Tamandua tetradactyla: one gene and its partner. The protein of the gene in region 2 purifies or fractionates together with the protein of the main gene of each other region. This does not show direct contact. Links are inferred from orthologs where the notes say so. Each region holds a gene or a part of one and is shown on either strand. Other genes may lie near its edges. The genes, in order: UBE3D and DNAAF2.

Region 1 (12,275 bases), on a different chromosome or scaffold from region 2:
CACCTACAGCTAACATCAGACTTAATGGTGAAACACTGAAAGTGTTTTCCTCAGATCAGCATGTATGATCTTACAACTTCCACTGAACTCTTAACTCCAAGCCCCAGTGTAACAAGGAAAAGAAAAATAACAGTTATGTGGACTGGAAAGAAGTAAAATGTTTTTTTTTTTTTAATAGAAAATGTGACTGGGCTCATTTTTAAAAACGTACAAAATACTAAAATTAATAATAAGTCTTTAGCAAGTTGGCAGGATACATGTCAATATGCAAAAATTAACTGTGTTTCTAAACAGCAGCAAAGGGTAAATGGAAAATGAAATTAAAAGAAAACCATTTACAATGGCATAAAAAGTCACATACTCGAAATCAATCTAATGAAAAATGTACAATTTCTCTACACTGAAAACCTGCAGAGAGAAACTGAAGACCTAAATAAATGCAGAGTTTTACCATGTTCATGGATTAGAAAACTCAATGTTGTTGACAAGGTGATTATTCTAGAATGTTTGTATAGAATCAATACCATCCCAGTCAAAATTCTAGCAAGCATTTTTTTTTGGTAGACACTGACAAGCTGATTCTTAAATCTATATGGAAATGCAAAGGATCTAAAATAGTTAAAAATAATCTTAACAAAGAACAAAGTTAGAATACTCATACTACCTGATTTCAAGCCTTCCTCAAAGTTACATTAATCAAGACAGCGTTATCCTGGCTTAAGGATAGACAAAAGATCAAAGGAACAACTGGCACTGTGGGACCAACAATTCCATCCTGACCAAAAGGGGGAAAAGAAGTGTAATTAATAAAGTATCAGTGGCAGAGAGAGTTCAAATAGAGTTGAGAGGCTACTCTGGAGGTTGCTTTTACATAAGCTTCAGCTAGACTTTGCTGCCTATCATAACCTGCCAACCCCCAACTAGGACCATTCCAGCCAATCCTAAAGAACACCTAGGGCAATATATAAGATTTCCTAAGTGTTCCAGGCACTAGAGTAAGTTTCCAGAAACCTACAACCTCCAGATGGGTCCCTGAACCTGGCCCAGCCTCTCCAGAACATCAGATAGTTCCATTTCCCTGTCCCCTATTAATGACAGACCCTTCCAATATGAAAACTTTAGAATTGCCTAGCCCAAACAACCCTAAAGAGAGGGATGGAAAGATCAAAGGTGATGGTGGAGTTATACATAGAAGACAGGATTTAGCAAATAAATATGAATGCTGAATCATTAAATTGACATCTCTTTTGGTCTCTGGTATTTTAGAGCAGCTAGAAGTAAAAACCTAAAATTCTGAAATTGTAATCCATGTCACAGTTTGAAATATGTTCCACAACTAATTGGGGTGCTGTACTTTGAAATTTATAGTTTTTTGTATATATATATATGTTATTTTTCACAAAAAAAAGTCGATTGTGATGATAAAAAAAAATTTAAGCCCTCTAGCCTCCTATATTCTGGAGCGGCTAGAAGGAAAAATGAGAGGATCATATGGTAGCCCATGACAAACTCTGGGATCAGTCCTGTAACCACTTGTTGAAGAGTGCTTTGAAAACCATTGCTTTTTTATTTCTTTGCTTTGTATATATGTTATACTATACAATAAAAAAATGTTTAAAACAAAAGATCAAGGGAACAGACTAAGAAAATCAAGAAATAGACCCACACGTAGTCAACTGATTTCTGATTAAAACACTAAATTTTTCAAAAATTTCTTTAACTAAAGGTCATGAAACAGCTGGGTATACTTATAAAAAAAAACTTTATGATGTCTACCTCATTTCAAACATAAAAGTTAATTTAATATGGATTACAATCCTAAATGTCAAAGTTAAAACTATATAACTCCTAGTGAGAAAAAAAATGGAAAAAAAAATCATCATAACCTTCAAAGATTTTTTAGAACACAAAAAGACACTAACCAGAAAATTAAAAAAAAAAAAGATAAAGCACATTTAACTAAAACTGAAATTTTCTATTCATCAAAAGCAATATTAAGAAAATTAAAAGGCAAGCTAGAGATTGGAGAAAATACAAGGTATATATCTGAGAAGGATTTTATTTACAGATTATATATAAAACTCTTTCAATTCAATAAAAATATTTTTTAATGGCAAAAAAAAAATGTGAACAAACCCTTTACAAAAGAACATATACAAAAGGCCAAAAACAAATGAAAAGGTACTCAACATTACTAAGCATCAGGAAAATGCAAATTAAAACCACAAAATATGATTTTATATCCACTAGAATGGCTAAAATAAAAGACTGACAAAATTAAATGTAGGCAAGAATGTGAACTAAGTGGAACTAATTTTTTTCTGATGAGAATTTTCATTTCTTCAGTGTACCACTTTCAAGCACTAACTGGCAATTTCTTATAAAGTAAAATCCACATCTGTCTTATAGCATGGCAATTCTATTCTTATGTATCTACCTGGGAAATGAAAATGTATGTCCACAAAAAGACTTGACAAGAAAGTTTATGGCAGCTTTGTTTATTAAGCAAACTGGAAACAGTGAAAATATCCAGCAACAGGAGAATGGATAAACTGTGTTATATACACACAACATTTTTCTTACTCAGTAAGAAAAAAGAATGAACTACTGATAAATGCAACACACAGGAAACATGAATTTCAAATACATTACGTTGAAGGAAAGAAGTCAGACACACACACAACATACTACATGAATCCACTTATGTACAAGGACAGGCAAAATTTGTGTTTGCAGAATCAGAACACTGGTTGCTTCTGGTGTGGGGGGAACTGACTGGTAATAAATACCAAAAGCCAAAGACCACCAGAGACAAACCAGTAGTCCAGCAAAGTTAAATTTATTAACTTGTTTAAACAAGGGAAAGTATTTCAGCGAAACCATGAAGGTTCCTAATAAGAGGAAGTAGGGAGTGATTTTTGTTAAGATTTCGGCTCAGGCTGATTAATGTGAGTGTGAATAAGACAAACTGGGATCAGCACTGGATTCACTGCTCTCTGGAAAGTAATCACTGTCATCAGTAATCACTGTTTCAGAGTCGAGAACAAGAAAAGGATGGTTCGGAGTTCACTGGTAAGTAACAAGTCAAAAGAAGAGGTTGTTATGACATTTGACAGCTGAGGTTTCACCTTGGTAGAAGCATCGTTTATTATTAACCCTGCAGCTGGTCTTATCAGTTATCACAGTATGGTTAGCAGGGTTTTTTACACTCACTGAAAAGGGACACCAGAAAACTTTTTGAAGTGAAAGAGTTATTGTCTTGTTAGGGTTGTGCTTGTATAGCTCTCTGCATTACAAAAAACTCATCAAACTGAATATTTAAAATCTGTGTGTTTTATTGTATATAAATTGACACAACAACAACAAAAATCACCACCTGCAAAAATAAGAACCTCTTAATAATAAAAGTGTGTAACGTATGTGAAAATACATACAGCTCAGAGGATCCCTAGGCTTCAGAAGGGTATGGTTTGGGGCAAGTGAACTCAGACTTACAGAGGAGGAAAAGAGATGGAAAAAGAGGAAGTGTGTAGTACTCTGTAATACTGTCTAGGATGTTGGTGGCTGGATAATAAGTGATAATATTTATTGCATTCCATTATAGCAAGTATTAAGGCACACCTCAATTAACCTGTAGATATTGGGCACAGTCACTGCTTCCAGTACCTGGTTGGGAGGGATCTGGAAGTCAGCAAATTTACACAGAATTTCCTTTTCTGTAGCTGAAACTCAGGACTTAAAGTGATCTGAAATATAAAGCCATCTACATTTCTATGGCGGCTTAAATTTTACATTATCTTTTTTGAGGTTTCCATCATCGCTACAAGGTAGACTGGAATTGAAGAAATTTGTGTGAACTCATGATTTTCGGTACAGTAATAAATAAATATCCCCATTTTACAACTTAAGAAATTAAGAGTAAATGATTCTACCCTTGTGAGAAAGCTAAGATTTGAACCACGTTCTCATGCCAAATCCAAAGCTGCCACGCCAGAGGTAAGAATATGTGGAAGAGCTAAGGATCCATCTGCCTCTGAGTGGCGCTGTGTAATAAAATGAAATTTTCAGAATTTTCCATCTAACTTACTGTTTCTAAAACTGCGGTCACAAAAGAATAGGCGAGGGCACCACTTACTATCAAAACTGCTTCCAAACAAAGAATATTTTTCCTAAAAGTTTCTTATTTGTGTAGTAAATAACGACTTCTTATGAATATGAATAAAAGAATGAGTTCCAATAAGAAGACTGCAACTTTTGTTAGTCGTTCACTGAACACACATTTATGTGAACTTCTCTGCAATCGGTTTTGGAAAAAATTTTTTTAGAAAGACGAAGTGTTTACAAAACAGGAAGCTCACTCATCGAAGTTGGTCCTATAACCAGGATAGAGTTAGACAAGGCAATTTTTTTGCCTTGTTTTGTTGGAAACGTCGGTCATTGCCAGGAGTATTTTGTGTAACTGCTCCTCAAACTTTAATGCGCATACCAATCCGTAGAATACTGTTGAAACGAGGACTCTGATTCTGGAGGTCTGGTGTGTGGCTGAGACTCTACACTTCTAAAAAACGCTCCCTGGTGATGTCCCGAGGCTGCCAGTTCCGGGACCGCACTGTGAAAAGCTACTCCACTTTGAGTAACCACAGGCTCACAAATGGGAAGAAACTCAAAATCCTAGGGAGGAGGACGACCCCCCAGCGAGTAGCAGAAAAAAAGCTGCCTGGGCGCCGCGCCCGCATGCCCACGCTCCGCCCCTTGCTTACCCTAGGATCAGCAGCGCGCTCTGCAGTCTTCTCCGCACCTCGAGGAACGTGCGCGTCTTCGCCGCCCCCTCCATGGCGGGCGCCCACTTCCCGGTAGGATCCAGGCGGAGCCTCTGACAAACCTGCAGCACAGGAACCACGCACGTGCGGCTGGTGCAAAAGCAGGCGTAGGAGGAGCAGCCCGGCCAGAGACCGAGGCCGGCACGGCCCACAGCGCCACCTGCTGGACGGAGAGCGCGCGGCCGTGGGGGCCCTGCACCACTCGCGCGTGCGTGTTTTAAAAACACGGCTTTGACCTGGTGTGCTGAGAAAGGTAGACGCGCAGAAGCAGGCTGTCCTCTGGCATCGCTTCTCGTCCCACGTGCCCTGCCTCGTCAGCCTCCTTGGAAATTACGACAAAAATTAGACTGGGGGTACACTCCTTTGGCTAGCTAGGATAAGGGATGGGGCACTAAAAGGGGATGATAGAAGTGGGCGATACAGGAGGACGCCGAATCCGGGAGGCCCGACAGCAGAATTCCCCACGCCAAACCCGCTTTATCGTGATTTCTTGTTTATGATCTAGGGTCGTTCGGTAGCTTCCCTCTGTCTGAGGCAACAAATATCAAGGACTAACATTTCTTCTCAACTTAGAAATGATCTCTGCAAAACTGAAGCCGTTTCTGGTTTTTTTTTTTTTTTTTAATCTTTTTGCAGGGTAAATAGCTTATCTGTTATCTATGCAAAAGAGACTGTGGTTCAAGTCCAGTATGTTGAATCATTTAAACCTTGAAAAAGAGAAAGGTGGGGGTGATCTCATATGTGCTTCTCCACTATCCATTTTTTCAGAAGTTAAAACTGACTCAAGTCATAAATACTACATTATTATATTAGAAGATAATTTTGGAAATTTTGACACAACGAAGTGTCTAGTATAACAGGGAAATATGAAAGTATAAGTTCACAGTAGAATTAGAATAGGACTTCTTTTAAAACTAGAGGCTATTAGTTTAAAAAAATAAAAGCAACCGTGGCCAGCACACAAAAAAATCCTATGCTTGCTCCTGTTCTTTCCTATTCCAAGGGTAATTACCACATACCAAAAATATTAATTTGAACCATTTTCAAATAAGTAAATAAATCCACTTCTCTAAAGATACTCGCCTGAGAACGTTTTTCTAAAATCAGTATTTGGGAGTTTTAAAGTTATTCTGCTGCTGCACAGATTTGTGTATCCTTTACAGTATTTTAAAATCATGGATCGAGATAAACCTCAAAACAATTGAATTTACTGATCATTTCAACCCCTAACATCATCCACATTTAAGTTCCAAGGATATTAGGCTCTTAAAAATTGGCATTTTATATTGAAATATATAACAATTGTAGCACAGCATGTTCCTCATAATCGATCTTTGAATATTGTTAAATAATTTTCTATTTTATGCATAGTCACGTATCCGTAAAACCTTTTCATCATTTTTTTTACCCTAAAGTTTAGGCAAAACTGTGGAATATCCTTGACGTAACGTGATATGATTGAGAGAGTTCTAGACTCAAAATAGTTCCAAATCTGATAATTATTTGTCTCCTGATTTCATAAGTTCCCTAATCCCTCTGGGCCTCAAGTTCCTCGTAAGAAACGTATTCATTTCCTAGTAGCCCTTCAAACTCTCCATCAAGACGGCTCTGGTGATGGCAGGCTGAGAACACCTACTATAAACCCCTCAACCCTATCACTTCCGCTGTTGGTCACCAAGAGTCCGCTAGAGGGCACTGTGGAGACAATCACAGCTGGGAGGCGAGGAGCGACCAGGGGGTGGGGATGTAGAGCCTTCGACGTCGACGCCGGCGTGAGCGCGGTGCACTTTGGGAGCTGTCACCAGGCCCTTCGGCTTTCGGCCCTGGTGTCGCTGGCGCGGTTGCCAGGAGAGCGGCCCCGGCGGGGAACGGCAGACCCCACAGCAGGTAACAGCGTCCCCGCCCCCAAAGCGGTCGCGAGGCTGGTTGGCGGCCCTGGGCGGCCTCCTCAGCCCTGCTCGCTCCGGAGCTGCGGGGATGCGCCGCCTGTGCTTTTGTGGCGGCGCGGGTATCGCGGCCCCAGCTTCGCCTGTAGCGGCGAAGCCGGCCGCACTCTGGGTTTCGGGGAGGCGAGAATTGCTGGGGGACCGTCGTTGTGGCACCTGGCGGAGGCGCGCGGGCAGTCTGGGCAAGGTTTGCGGGAGGCGTGGCCGAGGTGTCCCGTGGCTTGACCGAAACCTCAGGCGCTGGGGCTGGGCAGGATGCGGGGTTGGGGTGTGGGTCGCACCTGTACAGTAAAGGCGTGCAGAGTAGCGTCTTTGTTGGCGAAATCAGGGTATCGTGTCATCTCATTCATCTGGTGGGTTTTCTTAGTATTGAGGAGACAGGAATGCCAGCCATGGTTGATGTTCACGTGTGCAGGTTAGAAAGGAGTGCCGAAGTTTATTAAGAGGAAGTTATTTTATTCAGACGGAAGTTAATCACTTTTGATTCCCAACCTTTTAAAAGTTGCAACATAACAATAGTTATTTGTTCGGTTTCCCGCATTCTTTTCTCCTACCCTGAAGAGAAAAGTTGCCATCAACTGTACTTTTTAAAAACTAAGTCGTGTTTTGATTATTCTTAACTCTTAGAATTCCATGGAGTTTGGGAAATAAAAAGGTTGAGAAAATCTGACTTAGAAACTGCAGTTAAAACAATTTTTTTCATCACAAAAATAAAGAAAATTAAATGTTTGCCTTACAAGCCTTGAACTATAGACAGATCTCTCAATTTTAATACTGTTGCCTATCTTCTATGCAAATATAAGCTCTTGTATTTTAATTTTATATATAGATATTAATGTGGCTTACTTTTGAGGTCAGTCTGTGGATAACATGTCAACATTTTGTGCCAAGTAAAGTCATTGAACAGTGATTTAGTTGCACTCACGAAAGTTATAACATGAGTTAATTAAACCACATGCAGTACAAATGCTTTAATTTATTACTTTCAGCAACCACTCTAAATCATTCCCCAGAATTACTAAACAATAAGCAAATCTCCAGATGGACGTGATTTTGAGAGACCTAAGTCTGGTAGATAGATCACACAAAACATCTGACACCATAACCAATATGTTAAATGGAAATTAAATGTTGTCATTGAACAATCAAAGGAGTCCTATTTTGTAGTTATAATAGTGGAAAGAACTTTGGGCTGGGAATGAGACTTAGGGTCAGGTTCGTTGTTCTGCAGTTAATCAGGTGTGGTCTCTCTAGGCCTCAGTTTGTCTCTTTAAGGAAGTTTGACAAGATCAAAGTTTTCTAACCTATATTCCCCTGAATGTTGTTCTCAAGCTATTAATAGATTTACTGCCCCCAAACAGTGTTCCATGGCAAATAATGTGGAAGCACACTGGGTTAAACCAAGCTTAACTTTTGATTTTCTTTTAACTGTCCTACTCCTCAGAGCCTTTACTATGCTTATATGCAATGTAAATTTCCAGGAGAAGGTTATCACAGCATTTCCTGGCCAAAGAGAGCCTATTTCTCATGGGCAGCCTGTTACTGTCCCCTAGAAGGTAATTATGTAGAAATTAACTTGAAATTTGAAAATTTCATCAAGTTGAAAATTGCTATACTTGAGTCCCCTTTCAGCTCTAAAATCCCATGAATTCTGTTTATTATTGTTTTGTTTTTCCATGCATTGTGTATTAAATACAAAAAGTTATTGATTTTAGTTTTCAGTTTAAGCTTTCTGGAGCATGGTGATAGAGTGATAATCCTCACTGGAATAAGCCAAGGGTTTATATTTTTCTTACTAAATATTAATACTAAGGATGTTCATAGGTCTTTATGCTTTATGACAGAAGAGTATCTTCTTTTTTGGTGTCCCAGTGCTTTTCTTTAACATGTTTTCTTTTTATTCATGTTTGAACTTGATTTTACAGTCAAGTTACTGATTTTACGGTCAAGTTACTGATTTTATTCAGGATGGCATTTTAAGGTTCCAATAAGTAGAAAGTTGTTGATAATGGTATTATTTTACTATGAATGGTTTGCCCTTCTAGTCATGAATTCTTACAAGTATGAAATGTGACAGAAACCACCTGATATGTACTTAAGAACCAAATTTTTTAACAGCTTAGATAATGGAAATGGTCAAGGTAAAATATAAATTCTGAAATAGTTATTTCTTCATTGATTACAAACAAATCCAAGTATTGAATATGATCTAGTAGTCATGCATTTGTTTTGCTAAATTTGGTGATGTGTCACTTTCATACAACCAGTGTTGATGCTTCTGTCTATTCTTTATTGCTTTCTTAATGGTGAGTGTTATTAATGAGCTCTTGTTACTTTGTTAGATATGAATGCTATTAATGCAGTTGTGGGGAGATAGGGAGAAACAGAACATTTCATTTAAATAAATAAGCCTTAATTCAGGTAGGTTCTCTCCCTGAAATAAAACTGTTTAGTACAAGTATAGAACTAGTATTTTTTCTGTTATAGTTAACAGTTTGTAATGAAAATTCATTACATGAAAATAAATACTTATGTTTCCCTTTTTCTCTTTATTGTACTCATTCTGCAGCTACCACCACCCCCACCAAGCTATCCAGGCCTGAAACCTCAATGATCTTTGATCTATTCTTGCTTAAGTCAGATATTGTATCAACTTATTAAGGTAAAAGTTATATGCAATAATGTGCACCTACTTTAAGTTACTTTTCAGTGAATTTTAACACATATATACACATTCATGTAGCCACCACCTCAGTTAAGGTATGTAGGGCGGGCCACGGTGGCTTAGCAGGCAGGAATGCTTGCCTGCCATGCCAGAGGACCTGGGTTCGATTCCCGGTGCCTGCCCATGTAAAAAAAAAAAAAAGATATGGAACATGTTCATTACTCAGGCATATATTGTTATGCTTTTGCTTTTTTAGAATGCTCTCCCTGTCTCTGTCTGAATTATACCTGTCTTTCAAATGCTGTCTCAAATGCCACTGTCTGTGAATCCCTTCTAGATGACCTCATTCTGAAGTAATTTCCTTTTCTTTTGATTATCCCAGTAACATTTTTTGAACATCCTTCTCTGTCTTACACAATGCCTAAACCACTGGCATGCGCATAGTAGGCATTCGTATTTATTTGTTGACCACATGAATTAGTGCAATATTTCTCAAATTTCTGTCATTCTTATATCCTCTTCAAAATTTGACCATGTCTGCATACTTATTTTCTAAATATTTCCTTAAATCAATGTGACTGTTTTCTTTAAAGTATTTTTAAGAGAAACGTGAAATAACCACTATAAATAAAAAGCAGTTATCACTTTTCATAAATAAAAGGTTGGCATAAAAATAAAATAATGAAAACAAATGGTCTTCATTATTGCCTGCTAAAGACTCTAAGCCTAGAACTTGTTACTCTTTTTTTTTTAAAAGGTATTACAAAGAATTATCCACGTTTTGATAACATTCTGGCATCAAACTGAGGCTTTCTTCTTGGTATAAAGAAATTGACACATCAGACATCAGATTGTATCTTCACTATAAAATAAAGCAGTAGTATAGAAGCACATCAGATAAATTGTCATTATATAGAAGTGACAACTGACTGTAGTAAGAAAAACTTTAAAAGCACAGCAGTTTTAGTCCTTTGAGTAATACAGATAAATAGTCTTATGCTTTTAAGTTGCATTTAATTGTGCAGTGCATAGTAGAAAGTCCCCAGGAAGGAGGTGTGAATATGAGTTTGGGGGATGATAGAGGAGACAAGTGAGTCTTCCCAAAGGGGTTAAAAATCTGAGACCTGAAGAATGAATTGGTACTAGCTAAGTCAAATTGGGATTTTGTGTTTTAGGCAAAGGAAGTAAATGGTTGGGTCTAAGAAATTACTTCATATGTTTAGAAATATGAACTATACTGTAATATAAGCCATGTTTCTGAATATTGATAAATGTACTGATTAAAGAATGAGTCAAGTCAGGTGGGTTATACTGATTAAAGAATGAGCCTAGTCAGAGGGGTTGAATCAGAGAATATTTCATGGAATTAAAACTCATTTTGAGTTTAATTTTGATAGAAGAATTTCAGATAATAGAAAGGAGAAGGGGCTTCGCCAGAGAAGGAATAGTATTTATAAAGGCACTGAGATGGGAGGGAGCAAATCTTGAACAGTTGACTGTGACTAAGTTTTGGTTAGCTGGAACAGAAATGTGAATAAGATAGAATGAATGGATCCACTTTAAGACTAATCATATGGTTAAGAGTTTGAATTTCATTTATAAGGAACTGAATATTAAAATTATAGCAATGATAAGAATGCTTCTTATGTGTTAAGTAAACCATGGGTTAAAATCTTTTTCATGGATTATCAAATTTACTTTTCTGAGCTTCCAGCAGGGAGTTACATGCTCAAATTATTTTTTTACCATGTGAAATTAAGTGGCTCTTGCAAAGCTGAAGGTAGTGAAAAATAGGAGGCTCTTTCAGATATAAAATATTCAGAAGCCATGGATAAAGGACCATTCTGGTAGGAGTGGAAAAAAGAACTTATTGATAGATTGAATATGAGAATAAGATATAAAGCCAAAGCATAAGCCTGTATGATCAGAAAGATGATGGTGCTGTTGACAATAATGAAGTAAAAGAAATTCAGAGAACAATAATAGCAGTGTTCAACAGGTTTTATTTCTTGTGTAAACCAATCTTTATTTTTAAATTGAATATTATAATTGGTTCATGGTTACTCTTTATTAATTTAAATATTGATAAAATTGATTATTGCTAAATTTCTAATTAAAAAAAAATTTGGTTGAATTTTATTTTATTGAAAATAATAATTTGATTAGCATAATGATGTTGTTTGGTTGCACTCCAAAGATTGTTTTTGATTCTTTTACTTTATTTCTAGTAATATGTTTTAGGTGAGATAGCTTATTTCTTTTGAACAAATGTTAAGATTATGATTTGTCATTGTTAAACAAAGAACAATGGTTAGCTACAAATGACCATATTTATTTTGAGAAAAATGTTTTCTGAAAAATGATGTTTTAAATAAACTGGAAAAATACCTAGTAAGGTAACTAAAAGTTTGAGTCATCCCTCACTTGTATTTCACATCTCTCTTCCTTTTTAATCATGCTAAATAGCCATGCACACATTTTTATTGTGAAAAATAAAATATATACAAAAAAGCAATAAATTTCCAAGCATATTGCAACAATTAGTTATAGAACAGATTTCAGAGTTTGGTATGGGTTACAGTTCCACACTTTTAGGTTTTTACTTATAGATGCTTCCAAGACAATGGAGACTAAAACAAATATTGATATAATGATTCAGCCATCATACTCATTTGTTAAATCCTATCTTCTCTGTTTAACTCCACCTTCTCCTTGATCTTTCTCCCAGTCTTTAGGGTTATTTGGGTTATACCCATTCTAACTTTTTCATATTGGAAAAGGCTGTCGATAATAGGGGATAGTGGGATGAAACTAGTTGATGTTCTTGGACAGGCTCTGGGTTTC
Region 2 (11,998 bases):
TTTAATCTTTTATTTAAAAGAAATATATTCTGTCTTTAAGTACTGAGATTCTCTAGTGTGCTACTAGTATAGAGCTAATAAGGGTGAGGAAGGCCTCACAGCACTGACACGGAAAGATTTATATACTGCTATTAGGAAATGTAAAAATCACTCAACAGGATCCCAAACACAAAGCAGTTTGTTCATATTCATGTCAGATGAATATAGATATGGGAGGAATAACCATATTTAGAATTACTTAATTCATAAAACCAGTCCGTTGTTGCCCATAATAAAAGTACTTTCACCTCCAAAATACACACAGCTCATTATTTGGTCCAAAAATGAAAGAAAAATCAGATACAAGTTTCAAGCTCCCTTCTATGAGAATTTAATACATCTGCTATTTCATCATTAAGCAGCTAATGAATATACTTTATTAAGTTTTGTGATAAGACATCCCAAGGCAACCGAACTGCATAGTGTTTTTCATTTATCCTTTGAATAGCTAATGTTAAATTAGCAAAATTCCCACTGTTAAATATTTAAATCATTTTGGTTCTTTATTGTGTCAGAGAATCATCTGTGTTTTTTCAAAATTGCTTATATTGGGGGTAAAGAACTGCTCCTAAATTGTTCTTTATATTACTTAGTGTATTCCCTTCCTTAAGGGAACTAGCCCTACAACTTCTAAAGCAGGGTGTCTGTCCAATTAGCCACTAAAAATTACATGAAAAATGTTGGGTGTATAGGGCACTTATGTGGATAGAGTGTCATTCTATAGCTTTCATAAAATTTTCAAATTTTGGGTCATAAACCCCAAAAAAGCTCAAGAATCACTTCACCGTAGAATATTGGGCAATTCTGCGTGTCAGCCTCCTTAATCTACAAAATGAGCCAACTGGACTAGGATAACTTCAAGGAGTCTAACCAGTTCTAACATTCTCTGCATCACTGAGCTCAGTGCCTTGAAACTTTGAATCCTAAATCAACTGATCCCACACTCATGGCATAACTAAAAAATAACATTATAAGATGAAGTAGAAGTTAGGCTGTTGTAGTTAGATTCAGTTGTCAACTTGGCCAGGTGAAGGTACCTAGTTCTGCTGCTGTGGACATAAGCCAATGGCATGTGACCCTCATCTGTTGCTGATTACACCTGCAGTCAGCTAGGAGGCGTGCCTGCCGCAATGAATGATGTTTGATTTAATTGGCTGGTGCTTAAATGAGAGACTCAACACAGCACAGCCCAAGCAGCTCAGCACACCTCATCTCAGCAATCACAGCTCAGCCCAGGCCTTTGGAGATGCAGAAAGGAATCACCCCGGGGAAAGTTGTTGGAACCCAGAGGTCTGGAGAGAAGGCCAGCAGAGATCACCCTGTGCCTTCCCACGTAAGGAAGAGCCTCAGTTGAAAGTTAGCTGCCTTTCCTCTGAAGAACTAATGAAATAAATCCCCTTTTATTAAAAGCCAATCCGTCTCTGGTGTGTTGCATTCCTGCAGCTAGCAAACTAGAACATAGGCCATATTTACATTATGTAAAACTGAAAATGGAAGCTGTGTATCTTTTCTCTCATACAGATATGAAATCTCTATTAGGAATAAAGGCTGGTTATTATTATTGTTTCTAAGAAAAGAACCAAATTTCACTTTCATCAAATTGAATTGAAAATATCACACTTGACACTTTTCATTCGATTTACAATTTCTAAAGTGTACCCATATTACGCATTCTAGACTATATTTTTACCCAACATTATAGATACTATGCCTTTATATGATTTAAGACCTCAAAATAATTCTTCAGTGGGAATATACCATGATCCCAGTGAGCAGCCCAGCTTAGGAGTTAGCACAGTGGGAAATCAGATGAAAATACATCGTTCAGAATTCTCTTCACCGCTTGCCCATAAAGTTTTCTTCCCACAAACACTGTGAATTATTTTCACAACTATTAAAACAATTACAGGAAGATGACTGCCGTTTAATAAATTTCCCCCTTCTAATGACATAAACAGATATGCAATCTCATCATATTCACACAAAATACCTTACCTAATGTTGACTATTTTTATTGTTTTGGGGGATTTCAAATTAACCACTTCTCACCAAAGACAGTCAATTTGTAAAATCTATATATAACTTACTGGCAAACATCTAGAAAAACAAATAGTGAAAATTTCTGACAGGCTAAAAAGACCAAGGTCAACTACTTAATTTTTAATATATAATCTGCGTAACTAGTACTGCTTCTGGGAATTTGACACTTGAATATGTTAAAAGAACTAAAAAAGTTACATGTAAGGTTGATACATACCACTATCAAAATCACAAATTTATGAATTCAAAGAATTCTTTAGAACTTCAAATTTTAAGTGATTTTCAGTCATTTGCCAATAACATGGTGGAGTGGTGATTCTGAAATGCAGGAACCTCAATAATCTTAACAAGCATAGCAGGACTACAAAAGCACATGTTGAATTATTCCTCAGAATTATATCCAAGTTAACTGGGCCGCATCCAGTTTTCCAGCGCTGGCCAGGGGAGCTGCGGCTGATACACGTGCTGCTTAGCTCAACATACGTTCACTGACACTTGGCTAAGCGCCAGGCGTTGTGCTACATACCAGGGGCCCGGAGGTGGTCCCAACTGGGCAGTGGTCATTTCAGCGCCCTACCGTCACCACCAGACGACAGCCCCGCCTGCCTCTGGGACAAAGTCGCGCAGCACCGTAGGGCGGGTAAGGCAGGATATGTGAGCCACAACTGCCTCCAAATTCATATTCCCAGTAAGAACTGTGCGCAAATGACTTGGTCTTTGGAAGTAAATTTACTTTTTTAAGATTAAAAAAAGCGATTTGCCAACTTAAAATATGGCCATTAGGGAGTGGTTCTCAAATTTATTTGGGTCACAAACGCTTTTGAGAACATGATGAAAGTTAAAGCCCCTCTCCCCCCCAAAAAGCACCCTGATTTTTTTTTTTTACATTTAATTTCAGAAATTCTCCGATTCCTGGGAACCCATTCGTGTCCTTCTTACTACTCTTGCATTACGGGCAACTTCGAAGATTTGAAACCCATTCACCAGAGGAGAAGCGTGGACGCTTCTTTTCTTCAAAATACAGAGAGAGCGTTTTAAGCGCACGGGCATCTTTCATCAGTTCCAATCCACTATCAATTTCAAGCCATTACAAGAGACACGCTAACGGAAAGCACTTTGTTTAGCATAAATGGAGAGGGTGTCTGTAATCAACTTCGCAAAAGGGACGGAACATTTCACAAGTAGAAAGCTCTAGCAAGAAACGTTACCTCCAGAGAATCCTTGTTTAGACCGTAATACCACTCTCTCCAAATCCCAGGGCTTTCTGGAGATTTGGACAGTTCGATCACTGCATTGTTTGAAGAGATGCTAATCACGGGTTCCCTGACGCTCAGTTTATTCTCCGGAGCAAATTGCAAAAAGAAAGAATAGTCAGCTCCGGCCTGCGTGGAGAAGCCCAGCCTGTACCGCCGGGGGCTCACTTCCCCCCGCAGACTGTCCGCCTGGATCCCAGGCACCGGGATGAGGAGAGTCAGAGAGCCTTCGTCCTGGCGGCACTGCAGAGGGGGGCGCAGAGGCGCCCCGCGCTGCGTCCCCGGGCTCGCCGTGGCCCCGGCCGACGGCTCCCTGCCGGTTCCCTCCGGGTCCACGCGCGCCTCCGCGCGCACAGCCCCGCGCTCACCGGCGGTGGCGGCGGAAGACCCCGGGCCAACCCCCGCACGTGAAGGACGCGAGGAGTCCCCGCGGCCGCCCCCACCAGCGCCGCCCGCGGCGGGAGGCGGCTCCTCCCCCGCGCCCAGGGCCGACCCCGCGCGCCCGCCGGAATCCTGCTCCTCCGCGGCGCCTGCAGCCGCCGCCTCGCCAGCACCTGTGCCCGCGCGGCCCGCGCACCCCTTGGCAGGGCCCGCCTCCCCGGCGCCGGCGGAAGCGCAGGCCGTGCCGTCAGTTCCGGGCGCGCACGCCGCCTCCTCCCGGGCCGCCGCCGGCCCCCAGCGCGCGGGCGGACGCACCACGGGCAGCGTGACGACCAGCTGCCGCCGGGCCGTGTGGAAGCGCGCTGTGCCGCGGCTCTCATCCACCGCGTAGGGGAGCGGGAGCCGCAGCCGGTAGTCGGGCCTCCGCGAGTCGAGGCTCAGCAGCTTCCCCGCCACCTCCAGCGCCGCCTGCTCGGCCGAGCGCAGCAGCGGCAGCTCGATGGTGACCACCAGCTCGCGGGGCACCGGGCTCGGGGCCGAGTCGCGGGAGCAGCGGTAATCCTGAAGGTCCACGTGGTGCCGCTGCACCACGCTGCAGCGGGGCTCGGTGGGGCCGGGCCGCGGGGCCTCCTCCGGGGCGGGGCGCGTTTGGGGCCGGGGGGCTGCGGCGCTGCCCGGGGCCGCCGGAGCCGGGTACGGGTAGGGGAAGTCCGGGAGAAGGCCCTCGGGCTCTCGGTCGGGCCGGGTCGGGGCGCCCCCGGGCAGGGGCGTGCGGAGCACGGCGGCCTCCGGGCTCCCCTTGTACTTGGCCTTCAGCACCTTGGCGTTCGTGCGGTCCAGCGTCACGCCGAACTGCTTCTCCACCGCGCCCAGCGCCGTGGCGTCCAGCATCTGGCGGAAGCGCGTGCAGCGCCGGGCCAGCGCCAGGGCGGCGGGGTGGAAGACTACATCGTAGACGGTGTAGCGGCCGCCGCGGCGCCCCGCGTACTCGCGGCCCGGCGCCAGGCTGTGCGGCAGCGACCAGAGGCGGCCGGGCGCTGCGCCCTCGGGCCCGGGCTGGCTGCGGGGTGCGCCCACCAGCGCGTTGCCGCACACGTTGACGAAACAGCGGCGCACCCCGTCCAGGCTGGTGCGCAGCGCGTGGTCCGGCTCGGGGTGCACGAAGCGCACCTCCACCCCGCGCTCCCGCTCCAGCGCCGTGACCTCCGCCTCGTAGCGCCGCCGGTTCTCGGGGTCGGTGAGCTCCGCGGCGTACTCGGAGAACAGCCGCCGGAACTCCGCGTCCTGGAAGGCGGAGGTGAGCCGCTGCACTTCGTCCGCGCTCAGGTCCAGGTCCTCCAGCGGCGAGGGCGCCCGCGCCTTGGCCATGCTGCCCCGCAGCCCCTCACCCTCTGGCCGAGCAGGGCGAATCGGGGTCCCGGGCACGGAGTGTGGGGCGGCCGCGGTCCCTAACGGCCGGAGACTCGAGCCCTGGGCCGCGCGAGCCCGTTGCTATGGTGACGCCGCAACCCCCACCCCACCCCCACCCCCACCCCGGGAGGAGGGCGCGAGGCCCGGCAGCCAGTGGGCCACGGTGCGGTTGCTCGTGCGGAGGAGCCGTTACGTTCACGGCCGTCGTGCCCAGCGCGATATGGGTTCCCAGGCGGTGCTTGTAACCCTGCAGGTGGGACCCATAGCGTGGAGAAGGAGCTGGGACCTGGCGTCACGCAGCGTATTCACAGGCTGCAACTCGATCCATTGTGTTCTACTTTGCCAAGGCAACGTTTTCTTCTTTATTTTCTCCTTTCCATTTGCCCTGTAAAAGAACTCATCTGGGGTGAGAAATATGAACACGCTATTCCTAAACACATACTAAAGACCTATAAACATACAAAGCTATCACTTCGTTAGTGATAAAAATGCAAATAAGATAACACATATCACCTACCAAAATGGCAAAAATATGTATTCAGAATATAGTGCTTCCCTGAGTGGGCTCAATATTTAATAAAATTTCTAGAGAGTAGTTGAACAGTTTGTATCAAACTGCATACTTTTTGACCCGGCAGTTCCAGGTGTAAGGGAATAATTGAGTTGAAATGCAAAGACCTAGTGCGTGTTTACAGCAACGCCGTTTGTTCTAAAGGCTGGTGAAGAAGACAGTACAACACTGGCTTTGTTGAGCCAATTTTGGCAGAGCATGTAGTGGAATTCTAAATAGCCATTCAAAGTGGTGTCAGAAATTTACTGACTGAGTTATTTATTGATTGGTAGTTGTTAAACTCCGGGTCTTTTTTTTACTTTCATTTCTTTAAGTGGCATTTAATACAGTAGAAGTTGGTGTTAGCTCCGTGACAAGACACGTTACAGATTTCTCTCCATGGCATCAGACCCTCCAAAGGCCACTTTGGGGCTTAAAATATCCCAAAACAGAACCCTTGATTGTTCTCCTTTCCCAGACCTCTAGGCCTCATCTTTTTTTTTTTTTAATTAAAAAAAAATTTTTTTAAAATATGAAAACAAAGAAACAAACATTCTTAACATATGATCATTCCATTCTACATACATAATCAGTAATTCACAATATCATCACATAGTTGCATATTCATCATCATGATCATTTCTTAGAACATTTGCATCAATTCAGAAAAAGAAAAAGACAACAGAAAAAAATTCATGCATACCATGCACCTTACCCCTCCCTTTCATTGATTGCTAGCATTTCAATCTAACCTTATTTTAACGTTTGTTCCCCCATTATGTATTTTTATGCTGTATGTTTTACTCGCCTGTTGATAAGGTAGATAAAAGGAACATCAGACACAAGGTTTTCACAATCACACAGACACATTGTGAAAGCTATATCATTAGTCAATCATCTTCAAGAAGCATGGCCACTGAAACATAGCTCTGCATTTTTCCCTCCAGCCTCTCCATTACATCTTGACTAACAAGATGATATCTATTTAATGCATAAGAGTAACCTCCAGGATAACCTCTCAACAGTGTTTGGAATCTCTCAGCCATTGACACTTTATTTTGTCTGATTTTGCTCTTCCCCCTTTTGGTTGAGAAGGTTTTCTCAATCCCTTGATGCTGAGTCTCAGCTCATTCTAGGATTTCTGTCCCATGTTGCCAGGAAGGTCCACACCCCTGGTAGTCATGTCCCAAGTAGACAGGGGGAGGGTGGTGAGTTTGCCTGTTGTGTTGGCTGGAGAGAGAGGCCACATCTGAGCAACAGAAGAGGTTCTCTGTGACTCTTAGGCCTAATTTTAAGTAGCCTTGACCTATCCTTTGTGGGGTTAAGTTTCATATGAACAAACCCCAAGATTGGGGGCTCAGTCTAGGCCTCATCGTAAGGGTCTCTTGGCAACATTCAGAACAGTTGACTGAAGCACATTTTTCTCTTTTGTTACCAGACAAGGGTGGTGGATTCCCTGACAGATGTGCTCAGTGACCAATCCCTGAGACACAGGGGTTTCCCAAGACGGAGCTTATTGCTAGGTGCGAAGCAGATCACGTGGCCTCTCAGTCCAAAAATCTGTCTCTGGGAGCTGCGGATGGCTTTATATTTCCAAAAGATGGGCAGGTCTTAGGGCAGTGAGCACAGTGGCCCTAGATGATGTAATTAGAGGTGCTTTAATCGAGCATGCGCAGATTGGCTACATGCTTAGTCACAGAACGTATGTAAGAAAAATGACAGCCATAATATGATAATTGATATGATGGTTTTAGTATTATAATGAGGTACTGTGACTTGTAGGTTAAAGTCTAAGCTACTGTGCATGTCAGGCGGGCCCATACCTGTAAGATCCAGCTTTAGTTATCAAGATAACTTTGAACTTGGGGTGGCTTAGTTTTGAGCTGAATATAGCAACAGGCACACGCAGCCCAAGGGCTCAATTCTCAGACCATTGCCAATGCCTTAAACATCTCCATGGCCTTAGAACTGTAAACTTGTAACCTAACAAATCCCCATTGAAAAAGCCAGCCCATTTCTGGTATATTGCACTCCAGCAGCTTTAGCAAAACCCAAAATGCTACCCAAATTCCCAATAGTAGTAGAATGGATAAATAAATGTTGTAAATGTATGTAACACACTGTCATACAGCAACAATGTGAGTTAATATTGCTAACATAAATTGAATAAAAACCAATTTATTCAACCAAGTGCAAAATAATACATTTCATTTGATTCTATTATATGATAGGCAAAGCAAAGTTCACTCTAAGTCGTGTTGGCGATTTCCCTTCTGCCAGGCAGTGCGTGTGTTAGCACACCTGGCTTCTGGTTTCCTTCTGGCTCCTCATATTCGCTCTCTGCCTCACACTGAGTGATTTCAGCTGTCACCGTCAAGTTCTAATTCTTTCTTCTGCCAGCCCGTCTGCTTTTGAACCCTTCCTGAGACTTTTCTTTCCTATTACTGCCGTCTTCAGCTCTGTTAGGTTCCTACTGATAATTTCCATCTCATTTGCTCTTGTTTGTGTTCATCTGTCATTTTCCTGATTTCCCTAAGTTCTTTGTTCATACTTTCCCTTAGCTCTTTGAGAGTATGTAGGACCATTTTCTAAAACATTATTTATTGTGACATACATATAAAAAAATTTTTTTCAAAGTACACGTAACAAGTTATGGAAAAGATCTCAGGGTTTGGTATGGCTTTCTGTTCCACAGCGTGAGGTTTGCCTTCTAGCTGTTCCAAAACCCTGGAGACTAAAAGATCAGTATACTCATTTTGTAGGACCGTTTTTTTAAAGTCTTTGTCTGGTATGTACCAGGTCTTGTTCTTGTCATTGATAGCTTCCAGTGCTTTAATTTTCTGCACTGCCTGGGCCATTGCTTCCTGTTCCTTTGCGTGCTTTGTAATCTTTTGTTGAAAACTGGACATTTTGATATTTTAATGTATCATCACTGGAATTTAGGCTCTAAGGCATCTGTTCTTTATCCTTGTACCAAGCTACTGTTATGACAGAACTTTTGTTGAATGCCAGGAACTAATCAAAATAAAAAGGAAGGAAAAGAAAACACCTTTCCTAATCTTTGAAACTAAATTTTCACTAGCACTAGAAACTATCAACGACAAGAACAAGACCTGGTACATACCAGACAAAGACTTTCAAAAACGGTCCTACAAAATGAGTATGTTGATCTTTTAGTCTCCAGGGTTTTGGAACAGCTAGAAGGCAAACCTCACATTGACCCCTGTGAATGCTCTCCTTCAGGGTTTCTCCTACAGGCCAAACTGTAGGCCTCCTTGACCTTTCCTGCATATGCCTCTTATCTTAGACATGCCCTAGGAATTTTATACCCTTTACACCTTCTTCCCTAGGAAACATCCCGCATGTGTCCAGGCACTGTATTGTTATGTCCTACAGCCAGTGACTCCTTGCTTCAGGCAGCACGGCTTGACTTCTCTCCTACTGTGTTCCTTCAGAGAGCTCTGTGAACTGTCTTTTACGTACAAGGCAATTTCTGGGACATCAAGTCTCCCAGGCCTCGGTCCACCACGAGACAGATTGGGCCAGGCATATGCTCCCAGTATGTGCACATGAGCAACTCTGCTCCCTCCAGAAGGAGTGCGTGGGCTGGGTGTGTGCCCATACGATGGGCTGGCTCCAGACAGCTGGTACAGGATGGGGACTGGGCCAGCCTGGGCGCCCCGAGCTCCTGCCGATTTTACACAGCCTTGTCTTGATTCTGCATTTGCCCTGTGGCTGATGGAATTTTTATCAGGATTGCGTTGAATCTGTGAATAATTTTGGGTAGTATTGACATCGTAACAATATCAAGTTTTCCAGCTTAATTGGAAGACCTTTATTTAGGTCTTCTTTAATTTCAACAGTGTTTTGTAGTTTTTGGTATACAAGTGTCTTATAATACTGATGGCCAGAACTGCTCATACATACTGCCTTGCTTCATTTCATTTCATATTGTCAGCCCTAAATGCACCCTGTAGTCTAATCATTAACTATGTTCCTGAAATGATTTCAGAATGCATTTAGCTTTAATTATAAAAGCAGTTATTTGTTAAATGGAAGAGTGGATGAACACCTAGCATCCAAATTCCACTTAAACCTTTCTACCCATCTTCATATTTAGCTCTGTAGTTCTCATAATTAACGTAAGACCAACACTTCACTATATTTTCAAGACCCAAATTGTCATTTTTCCCAAGCATTCTAGTGGCTTTAAACCTATCCCTTGTTTGTTTGTTTTTTTTTTTGGCTTTTAAAAAGGAATTTAATAAGTTGCAAGTTCACAGTTTTTAGGCTGTGGAAATGTCCCAATTAAAGCAAGTCTATAGAAATGTCCAATCTAAGGCATCCAGGGAAAGAAGCTATCTTGATTCAAGAAAGCCAGTGAAGTTCAGGGTTTCTCTCTCAAGTGGAAGGGCACATGGCGAACACAGAGTTTTTCTCTCGCTGGTCGGGCATGTGGGGAACACAGCAGCATCTGCTAGGTTCCTCTCCAGCTCCCTGGGAGGCATTTTCCTTCTTCATCTCCAAAAGTCGCTGACCGATAGACGCTCTGCTTCGTGGTTCTGCGGCGTTCTCTGGTGTGGCTTTCTCATGACTGTCATTCTCTGCTCTCTCTGAATCTCCTTTTCTCCAACATATTTCCCCTTTTATAGGATTCCAGGAAACTAATCAAGACCCACCTGGAATGGGTGCAGACACATCTCCACCTAATCCAGTTTAACAACCACTCTTGATTGAGTCACATCTCCACGGTCTGCTCTCCTGGCCCGAGGCCTCTTGACTTCAGACTTTAGCCTTCATAGTTCTGCCTCTGAAGTTATTTTTCCTCCAGTGCGCCCCTTCTCTGTCCCTCTCGGTCCCGACTGGCAGTGGTTCTCGTTATACAGATTCTGCAACACTCTCGTTGGCTTTCTATGCAGTAGCCTTGAATCATGCCCATCAGATATCCTGGCTAACTCCAGGTTCAGTCCTGGCTTTCTCTGAAATAGGTGACTGGTTCCACATTTGGCCATATCCTCACATGGGGCACTATTCTCTGGGGTCTCCCTTCCTGGAAGTCCATATCCTTTGATTTTTATAATTAAACTTCAATTTTTCCAGGCTATTTTTGAAACTAAAGCTAAACCCTACTCTTCTAGTGTCAGGCCCCTTCTAACATTCTCCCCAACTATTCAATCCTCAGACTGCATCTCAAATCACCATTTTTTCCTTAATGCTAAGTACTTAACACTGCATTCAATTTAAATTTCACTGAGGCTCTTCCCCTTCACTATGTCATTTTCATTTTTTTATTAGTATTCCTTCCAAAAAAGCTAATCCTATTTGAAAGAAATGTATTCTACTTCAGGCTTTTTTTTAAGTTTTAACATTACACCTATATTTGAAACATCTTTTGTACTTCTAACAAATTTCTGTCATTCATATTCATTTCTGGGCTCTCTTTCCATCAACTCCATAAACTAAATGATAAATAAAAGGAGTTGTTGAGTGATTATACATAAAACAGCAAAATGTACTGCTTCAAAATAAACATGTATTTTAAGCATAAAATTATGGGTACTGTATATCTTTAACTTTCCAATATTAAAGCCTTCAGGTGATCATGTAATGAACATTAAACTAATAACCTCAAGCAAAGGCTTGCACTCATTAGAATAAATTCTGTTGCTTTGAAATTTAAACAATTTGAAAAGCTGAATATACTGTTCTTATGGTAATAAAATTCTAAGACTAAAACAATGATTCACAAAATTTTGAGTAATTGTGTTTTCCTTAAAATGAACAGAGTATAGTATGACTGCTATGAAGATAACTGTAATTTTTAAGTGCAAATGTATAGCAGATTTTATCCTTACATATATCTCATATTTTTCTTAAAAGAGTATGTAGATGTATGTAGTGGAGACGCTTAGCCAACCTATAAGTATGCTTAAGAGTTACTTCTGGAGGACCTCTTTTGTTACTCAGATGTGGCCTCAGTCTCTCTAAGCCCAACTCTGCAAGTGGAATCATTGCCCTCCCCCCTGCATGGCACATGACACCCAGGGGTCAGAGTCTTCCTGGAGGTGTGGGAGATGACTCCCAAGGATAAGGCTGGCCCTGGCACCATGGGCTCAACAATCCATCCTGACCAAAAGAGGGAAAAGAAGTGTATCAAATAAGGTATCAGTGGCTGAGAGTTCAAATAAGAGTCGAGAGGCTACTCTGGAGTTCACTCTTATGCAAGCTTTTAAGTTACGTATCATAGCTTGCCAAACCCCAACCAAAACCATTCCAACCAATCCTAAAGAACACCTAGGGCATTACATAAGATTTTACAAAGGTT

What was found.
Region 1: the proteins of DNAAF2 (region 2) and UBE3D purify together in Homo sapiens (affinity purification with mass spectrometry; 4 studies listed by BioGRID and IntAct, counting the BioPlex papers as one, with this or other methods). This does not show direct contact. The link is inferred for Tamandua tetradactyla from reciprocal best matches to the Homo sapiens genes DNAAF2 and UBE3D.

Annotation. Positions count from the first base shown.
Region 1 is NC_135331.1:139,841,106-139,853,380, forward strand, and holds the start of UBE3D (E3 ubiquitin-protein ligase E3D), read right to left. Parts: upstream 4,923-12,275; 5' UTR 4,835-4,922; coding exon 4,761-4,834; intron 1-4,760. UniProt on the Homo sapiens protein: E3 ubiquitin-protein ligase which accepts ubiquitin from specific E2 ubiquitin-conjugating enzymes, and transfers it to substrates, generally promoting their degradation by the proteasome.
Region 2 is NC_135340.1:3,068,877-3,080,874, reverse strand, and holds the start of DNAAF2 (protein kintoun), read right to left. Parts: upstream 5,193-11,998; 5' UTR 5,082-5,192; coding exon 3,288-5,081; intron 1-3,287. UniProt on the Homo sapiens protein: Required for cytoplasmic pre-assembly of axonemal dyneins, thereby playing a central role in motility in cilia and flagella.